Linked DNA regions of Bombyx mori. The protein of the gene in region 1 interacts with the protein of each later gene in a pairwise test. Links are inferred from orthologs where the notes say so. Each region holds a gene or a part of one and is shown in the gene's direction. Other genes may lie near its edges. The genes, in order: TRAF3-interacting protein 1 and WW domain-containing adapter protein with coiled-coil homolog.

Region 1 (4,261 bases):
CAGATTTCCACGTGACTCTCCCATTCGTCCTCGTCACAGGACTTTTTACATATTGTACAAACATAAACTTGTCCAGAATTAACTTCTTGTTTGATATCTGTTGGTTGATCTGTGTTGCTTGACTTGAGTTTTTTATTCTTGGACCCTGGGGGGCGACCCACTCTCTTACCTTTACGAGGCATCTTCAATTAAGTTTGCAAATCGTGTTTACAGAACAATAGTTTATTTAGTTTACAAAACGAAACTACATAAACAATCAAGAAGTTAGTGGGTATACACTTTGATATTACTTTCACTCAGGCGCTTTGAGAAAATTGTATAGCTTCACACAATTTGGTCTTCAAGTAAACTTTAGACAGAACAGAGCATCAGGCGCCACGTCTGCATATTAAATTTACATTCAGTCTTGCCAATGTAGTGTAGATCTAAGGAAAAGCATATCGAGCCACAATTTTAAACGATTAATTAAGACATAAATAAGTCTTGTTAAAATATTTATTTTGTAATAAATTGATTATTTTGATGCAATTTAAAAGAATTATTGATAAAATTATAGACCTACAAATTGTACACAGACAATAAATAAACATTAGTAATTGTGCTGATTTGTGCTTACGTAGGATAATCTATGATACGGTAAGTCTGCTTTTTTTTTTCAATATGAAAATTAAATGAGCTTCTTGACATGATATGGCGTATGTTGAGTTCAAATTAAAATTATGTGGATTTTTTTTCGAAAGTGGGAAAGGTGTATTGTAAATTACCAACTTGGGATATGCGTACCTCTGGGGTGTTCCGAATCCCATTGGGGGTACGTGAAAATTATATTGGTAATGGCCGTAAATACTGAGAAGTTTAAGTAGTTAACTTAAAAAAATTAAAAATATGATGATAATGTTGTTTTGTCTACAACATATAGTTTTAAATGAACTTTATTCTAATAACTATTTAATAAAAACGACCGATAAACCAGAAATGAGACATTTTTTAAGTATGGAGTTATCAGGATTTAATCGAAGAGAAATGAGACACATTAGGTATGGAGTTATCAAGGTTGGAGAACTCAAAAAAAGTTTAAGGGGTATGGGAATGAAAAATGTTTGGAAAGCACTGCTTTAGATCACCGTGGCGGGCACCGTGGATTTTCATAGCAGCAAAAATCAATCCTTCTTTTTGAAAGTACGTAATAAAAACAAGATCGCTGTTGCGCAAATTACTTTAGATTGCCAATTTGAAAGCTCCGTAAATCCTTGTATTTTACTGAGTGTTCATTTAATGCCATTCCATCCCATCTCATTGGTTTTAAATATGTTTTATTCTTTTTCACTTTTCATTCAAACGATATGGGTTTTGCCTGGAATTTTTTACAATTGTCATTAAAGCTATCTTGAAAATGGATACCGGCTGTATGGGCATATATCCCGTTCTTTGACCAACAAAACATTTTTGGGTTCTAAGCCGTTTCCATGGGAACGTACAGTGTACACAAAATTAAAAATACCACGACTCCTGACAACCTTTATGAAACCTATGTTTCTTGTTAAATTATTGTAATCAACAATTTTTTGTGTCGTTAAGAATAGGTATATGGTTATTTGATATTTATTGCTTCATGTTTACTTTGTAATATGTGCAATGGAAAAAGAAATAGATCCACAGATCATAAAAGAAACTCAAACATCTCTCGGAAAATATGTGAAGAGGCCGCCTTTAAGTGAAAAATTACTGAAGAAGCCTCCCTTTAGATTTCTACATGATATTATTACTAGCGTGAGTGCATATATTTTTCAAAGCACTTTAAAAACACACTTAGAAAATTCAAAATAGCAATGACTTCAAAAATGCACTTTTCCAGTGACGTATGATAAGATTCAGCGCCCTGAGCCGATAAGGTTTAACGCCTTAATAAAATAAACGAAAAAAATATTTTTTTTAATACGAAATTAAATCGTGCTTTATTGTTTGTGTGTAAAGAATAATCATAAAGAATGAAAATATGAAAATGGCCAAGTAAAGAAAAAGCAAAACTGAGCGCGTAATGATGCGGTTTGCGTCTATCCTAACAGGAGCCTTTTTAGTTTTAGGGTATCTACCCTAGAACCCTAGAGGCGTATTTACGCTGTGTAATTCCACTGACGAGACCTGTTACAGAAAAATGACCAATCTGAACAGAAATTAAATAAAGCAACACCATATCTATCTATACTTTATTTTTTTATATTAAAAAGCTGAAGAGTTTGTTTGTTTGGTTGAACTCGCTAATCTCAGGAACGACTGGTCCGATTTGAAAATTTCTTTCAGTGTATATAGGCTATTTAACATCACACTAAGACCAATACGAGCGGAGCACTAATAAATAATGTTTCAAAATCGGGTTTATTTCCTTTTGGGAGCCTCCGCTGCGTGCGCTGCGGAAACGGTTTAAGTGTCGCTAAAATAAAATATGACAAAAAAATCCCCTTTAAAAGTTTTAAAAAAAACTCCGCGACGGCATATATTGGCTCACTAAAACCTTTTTTAAACTAACCAAATTTGTTCTAAAATAAAGCATTATTTGTGACGGTGTTTTTATAAAGATGATATTACTTAATACTTATCCAAAGAAATACGTTATTCATTACAAGCATTTAATTTAAAAGAAATTGGCCCTTTACATAATTTGATTTCAATGAGTATCCTAGAAGATATCGCAGTTTTAAAATAACATTAGCAAAATGCATAAGAAAAATAATGATCAAGCACGTAATAATGGTGTAGGTAGAAGGCGCCGCCGCCGCGCCGGTGCGCGGCGACATAAAATAAGAACAAAAAAGAAGTACCCAAATCATTTCAAGATAGGCTGAAAATTGTAGATTTTTTCGATTTCTCCAGGATCCCATCATCAGATCCTGATCCTGATGATTACTTACAGGACCATTCGGGAAGTCTAGCGTTTCGAACAAAAAAAAAGAATTATCAGAATCAGTTCAAGCATTCTCGAGATATCGGTGAACAACATAGATAAAAATATGGTGGTCGAATTGATAACCTCCTCTTTTGAAGTCGGTTAAAAAGCGTGACTTTGGTCCCTTAAATAGCTCCTTAACATTCTTTATTAAATAATATTTACACCTTCTATGAAGTCCCGGGTAAAATTTAGCGTTATCCCAAAGTTAATTAAAGTCTAAGTAAAATAGTCTGATATTACTTACAAAATGGCTTAAGTAGCTAACATGTCCTGGTAACAAATTTTTTATTACCATTGTATTCACTGCCTGATCTGAGCTGATGTTAATCTGTTACCAAAGTCCATAGACATCGAGACCTATGTAAGTCTAAGTTTTTACTAATCATTATTTTCTCTAATGCTTTTTATTATTAATTCTAGGTTTTAAAAACAACTGGATTTTTCGAAGGTTTATTTGAAAAGGACGAGTTAACTTCTGAGAATGTTAAAGATAGAGAGAGTAAAATACAGTTTTTAAATAAAGTCATTTCAGTTATACGTAAGTTGATTTTAGATGTATAGATGGATGAACGTGCTCACAGCTCGCCTGGGGTTCTAATATCGGAGTCCATAGACTTCAAAAAGTGAATACCTACCTTTACTAGGGTCTCTATTTCAATTGGATAGTAGTTCTGCAAATTAGTTTTATGTAAAATTTTAAAGCTAAAATAGGTGACCGAGCTCACTGCATACCCGTGGTTATCGGAGTTCATACACATCAACAACGGAAATGGCAGCACCCACCTTGAGACATGAGTTATAAATCTTAGTTCTATAAGTTCCATAGCACGATGGCTACTCTACTCTGTCTTAATGTATTAGACAGGCAATATTAAGTTATGAGAATATTGTAAGGTTCAAATAACCGTATCAGATACCGTTTTTTTTCTATCTATTAATGTAATAACTACCGCTGTCTTGCCCATATTCTTTTCGAAACTTTCGCAGCTACTATAATATAATATATATTAGATTAATACGTTGTGTTCCCGAACTCACTCACATATTAACACAATTAAGTATGTATTTAAAAAAACTTACAAGTATTCTTAATTTAGTAAATTTATATACAGATTATACAACAGGAAAACCTATCAATATTAAGCCTTCAAAGATAGTAGCAGGTCAAGAGGCAGAGAAAACGAATGAACTCTTACAATGTTTGGCACAAGCTCTAGACAACAATTTATCGTCAGTAGAAGCAGTGAAAAAATATAAAGAAAATGCATCACAAAATACTGTGCTTATAAAAGAAACGAGATCTAAAGAATCGAT
Region 2 (3,834 bases), on another chromosome or scaffold:
CCCGCAAAATTATAATTTGCGTAATTACTGGTGGTAGGACCTCTTGTGAGTCCGCACGGGTAGGTACCACCACCCTGCCTATTTCTGCCGTAATGCGTTTCTGTTTTGAAGGGTGGGGCAGCCGTTGTAACTATACTGAGACCTTAGAACCTTTATCTCAAGGTGGGTGGTGGCATTTACGTTGTAGGTGTCTATAGGTTTCAGTAACCACTTAACACCAGGTGGGCTGTGAGCCCGTTCACCCATCTAAGCAATAAAAAATAAATAAATAAAAGGTTACTCAATCAAACCAAACACTGTTTATGTTCTAGTAACTTATTGCTCAATTTATCACGAATATAATAAATGACAGAATGCTAATTTACGACGTAACTGCCGAACCTAATTCACGCAAAATGAATTTAAAATGAGTACTAAAACTAAAATAAAAATACTAGTTTTGGTTTTGCAAACAACTAACTAAACTTTGTATGAATCTGTGCATTGATTTCAGATTCATCAGATTGATTTCAACTGTACGTTTCGATGAAATCCACCTTTACGTCTGTTGCCTACAAAAAAACATTAGATTTTGTGATATTGGAAACGATCTGCCAAAAATCCTAGTCTTCGATACAATTTCGAAATTAGAACAAATCTTGTCTGCACCTCTACGGTAACATGATGACGTGATGACTTTCTGTGTTTCAGTGGAATGTCTGGGAAGCTATTCATCAGTTGTCGGCGGCACGCTACAGCACGCACCGCCTATGTTGACGCCTTCACTTGTGAATTACGTCCGGTCTGATTTAACATCGCATGTTACCGGTTGGCCAGCCGATATACTCGAAAAACAGGTTTGTCATCTTTCTTGTGCTACTTGTTTAAGAGTTTAAAGCTTTTATTTATTTTCTAGTTCCCATCCTATGAGCAACATGCCGCCATTTAGCGAATTAATTTAATTGCTAAAATCTATTGTTTTGCTTAACGAATGTTGATATATATGTATATATATATAAATCTACAGTGGTTTTTACGGATGTTCCGTTATAACTACTGAACCATGCTTCCGATTGACTTGAAACTTGGTATCCATGTAGAAAATACATGTACTTACCATTAAGTATCCATATAGGCTAATATTTATATGAGTGTTGGACTCCCTAATAATAATGACAATAAATAATAATGTTAATTTTAAATGCCCAGCGAAGCGGGCGAGTACGGCTAGAATACTTATAAACTTAAAATATATATCCTAGTTTCAAAATGTGCTTATATTGAAAGTTTATACTAAATTAAATCAATGAATTGTTTGCCAGACACTCAACTTACTCTAAAACATAATTTGATATTAATTGAAGACATAATGGAATCTTACCAAAGAAAAGGTTTTTTTTTGTGTATGCCTTAATTTTACTATCATTACGTGTTAAAATGATTCGTATTGGTTCGGTATAATACTTTAACGTATATACCATCAAAATATAGCGGCATTAAAAAAAGAGTAGTTGTTAATTGTTCTATTAATTTTATTATGACTTTAACAATTTTTATTTGTTGATACTAAGACAATACATATGACACTGATAATTTACTACGGAGTAAACTAACCTATAGTCACAGCCCACTAAGTTTCTCGGCGGATCTTCTCAAGGGGTCGCGATTCCGATCCGGTAGTAGATGCATTCGCGAAGCGTCGAACCCGTCGCTTGCGACGAAGGGCCCGACGAGAAAATTAACCCTTAGACACAGCCCACTGAGTTTATCGCCGGATCTTCTTAGTGGGTCGCGTATCCGATAAGGTGATAGATTCTGCGAAATGCTGCTTTTGCTAGGGCAGATATTTTTTGTTTATTTTTTATTATTTTTTATTGCTTGGATGGGTGGACGAGCTCACAGCCCACCTGGTATTAAGTGGTTACTCGAGCCCATAGACATGTTAGAAAATTCTCTCAGGTCGAGCCTGTGAGCTCACATATCCGCCCAGGCGTAGCTAGAATAGCCCCTTTGGCTATCAGCGAATAGGTTGGAAAAAAAATCGACATTTCCGTGTGTCACAGGATTATTTGACAAATAATCTGAGTAAGTCGGTTAAGGCGGATCAGTTTCTTGCTTTGCCATAAAATAAAAATCTATTAAATATCATAGTATAAGTAGGCCAAATGATAAAGAAGTAATGAGGAAAAGTAAAGATCTTATTTATCACAAATTACAAATCACTGTTAGTATGTAGTGTTTTATTGTTTTGTTAACGTGCTTGTGTGTCCTACTTTTGCTGTGCTTATTATATTATTATTTGTAAAATCTGTACTATGAATAAATAGGGTAAACAGTAAACAAGGTTATCCAAATGAAAAATAGAAGTTGTTATTGTTATTGCTTTACATTTTGTTCTGGTGATGATTTATAATCAGGATACTAAATTCCCTTGACCTTTATATTACATACACATATTAAACATTATTACATTTCTAGATTATACAATAAAATAGGGTAGGTACTTACATTTTAGCTTGATTATATTAGACTCGTACTTTTCTTTTGTGTTTTTCAGGAAACTATATTTTCAGACCGGTGTAGTGTAATCTAAACTATATCATCTTCGGATCTGCTTCAATACTTTGGTTGAAATTTAATACAGTTCTTTTTCGTGTATGCTCAAAAGTTAATATGTTTTGTAGACTTGAATGATTTTTAATTTCACACGTGTCAATAGGACAAGAAATACGTTTCGAACGCTCCATTTAATATATCACTATCATCTCGACCTTTTTATATTTTTGCTATTTAGTATAAAAAAAATACTCTTCACATCTTGTTGGTTTGCAAGAATACCGCCAATATAGGTCAGAACTATTTGATATTGAATCAGATACAGAACATGATAAGATAATTTTTAACATGAATAGTGAATGTTCGAAACCAATCCGTTAGTTTTTGAATTCTTACCACGGCAACACGGGTCGCGATTTGACGGTGCCGTCGCGATTTGACATCTGTCACTTTGTCTTGCTTCTCGAACGGGACGGTACCTGTATATTGACGGTCTACGCTAAAGTTGTGTATCATCGCTAATCCTTATCCATTCCTGCCCCATACCCTTCTCCCTAAGTGATACGGCGTGAGAAGACGAAGGCATCGGTTCCGGTGAGTGATTGCATGATATTTTGTTAAAATAGTACACACGGCGCCGCGAATCGCGGCACATGTTCGACGCGCACCTCGTGCTGGTTTCCGTAGCCCTAGGCTGCCACGAGGTCGCTGGGTTCGAATCGAACAATTTCTGGTAGCAGAGCGTGGTTAGATTTGTAAAATCTACGGTAATTACCACGAATTGTAATTTTTTTTATGTCTAACCTCACTTAATTTTGTTACTAGTCAGCAGAAGTAGTGTAGGCATAGGGCTCGGTTCTGTTTAAACTATCATTCTGCTGACCTAGGTCAGGTCGTTTAGTGTGTTTCTATCCACCTGGTTAAGAAAATTAGTGAATAGAAATAGTTAGTAATATTAAGACTGATTTATTAGCTTCCACTGCGCATAGCTGACTAATTGTACGTGAGTTGGACAGCTGTGCTGGCTGAGTTTATGACCTAGCACACAGCTGCTACAGTGGTCAGCTATTTTCATACTATTACTACAGATTTATGTTAATTCTGCTCATCATAGCAGTAGATTACCACATCTATTTAAGCATAGTTGTGTGTAACAATCTGAATGTTATTACAGTTTGGGTTTATAATTTATTATTAATTTGTGTATGATTGTAGCTCACTTCCTACTTATATTTTAGTATAATTGAGCTGCAACACATTTGTAATTGAATATAACTGGAGTACTTGTTGAACTTGTAG

What was found.
Region 2: the proteins of TRAF3-interacting protein 1 (region 1) and WW domain-containing adapter protein with coiled-coil homolog interact in a two-hybrid assay, tested with the Homo sapiens proteins (2 studies listed by BioGRID and IntAct). The link is inferred for Bombyx mori from reciprocal best matches to the Homo sapiens genes TRAF3IP1 and WAC.

Annotation. Positions count from the first base shown.
Region 1 is NC_085131.1:5,592,703-5,596,963, reverse strand, and holds the start of TRAF3-interacting protein 1, read left to right. Parts: upstream 1-1,452; 5' UTR 1,453-1,635; coding exon 1,636-1,770; intron 1,771-3,367; coding exon 3,368-3,485; intron 3,486-4,059; coding exon 4,060-4,261. Other genes in the region: gastrula zinc finger protein XlCGF57.1, read right to left, coding at 1-182.
Region 2 is NC_085107.1:9,926,201-9,930,034, reverse strand, and holds part of WW domain-containing adapter protein with coiled-coil homolog, read left to right. Parts: intron 1-690; coding exon 691-836; intron 837-3,834.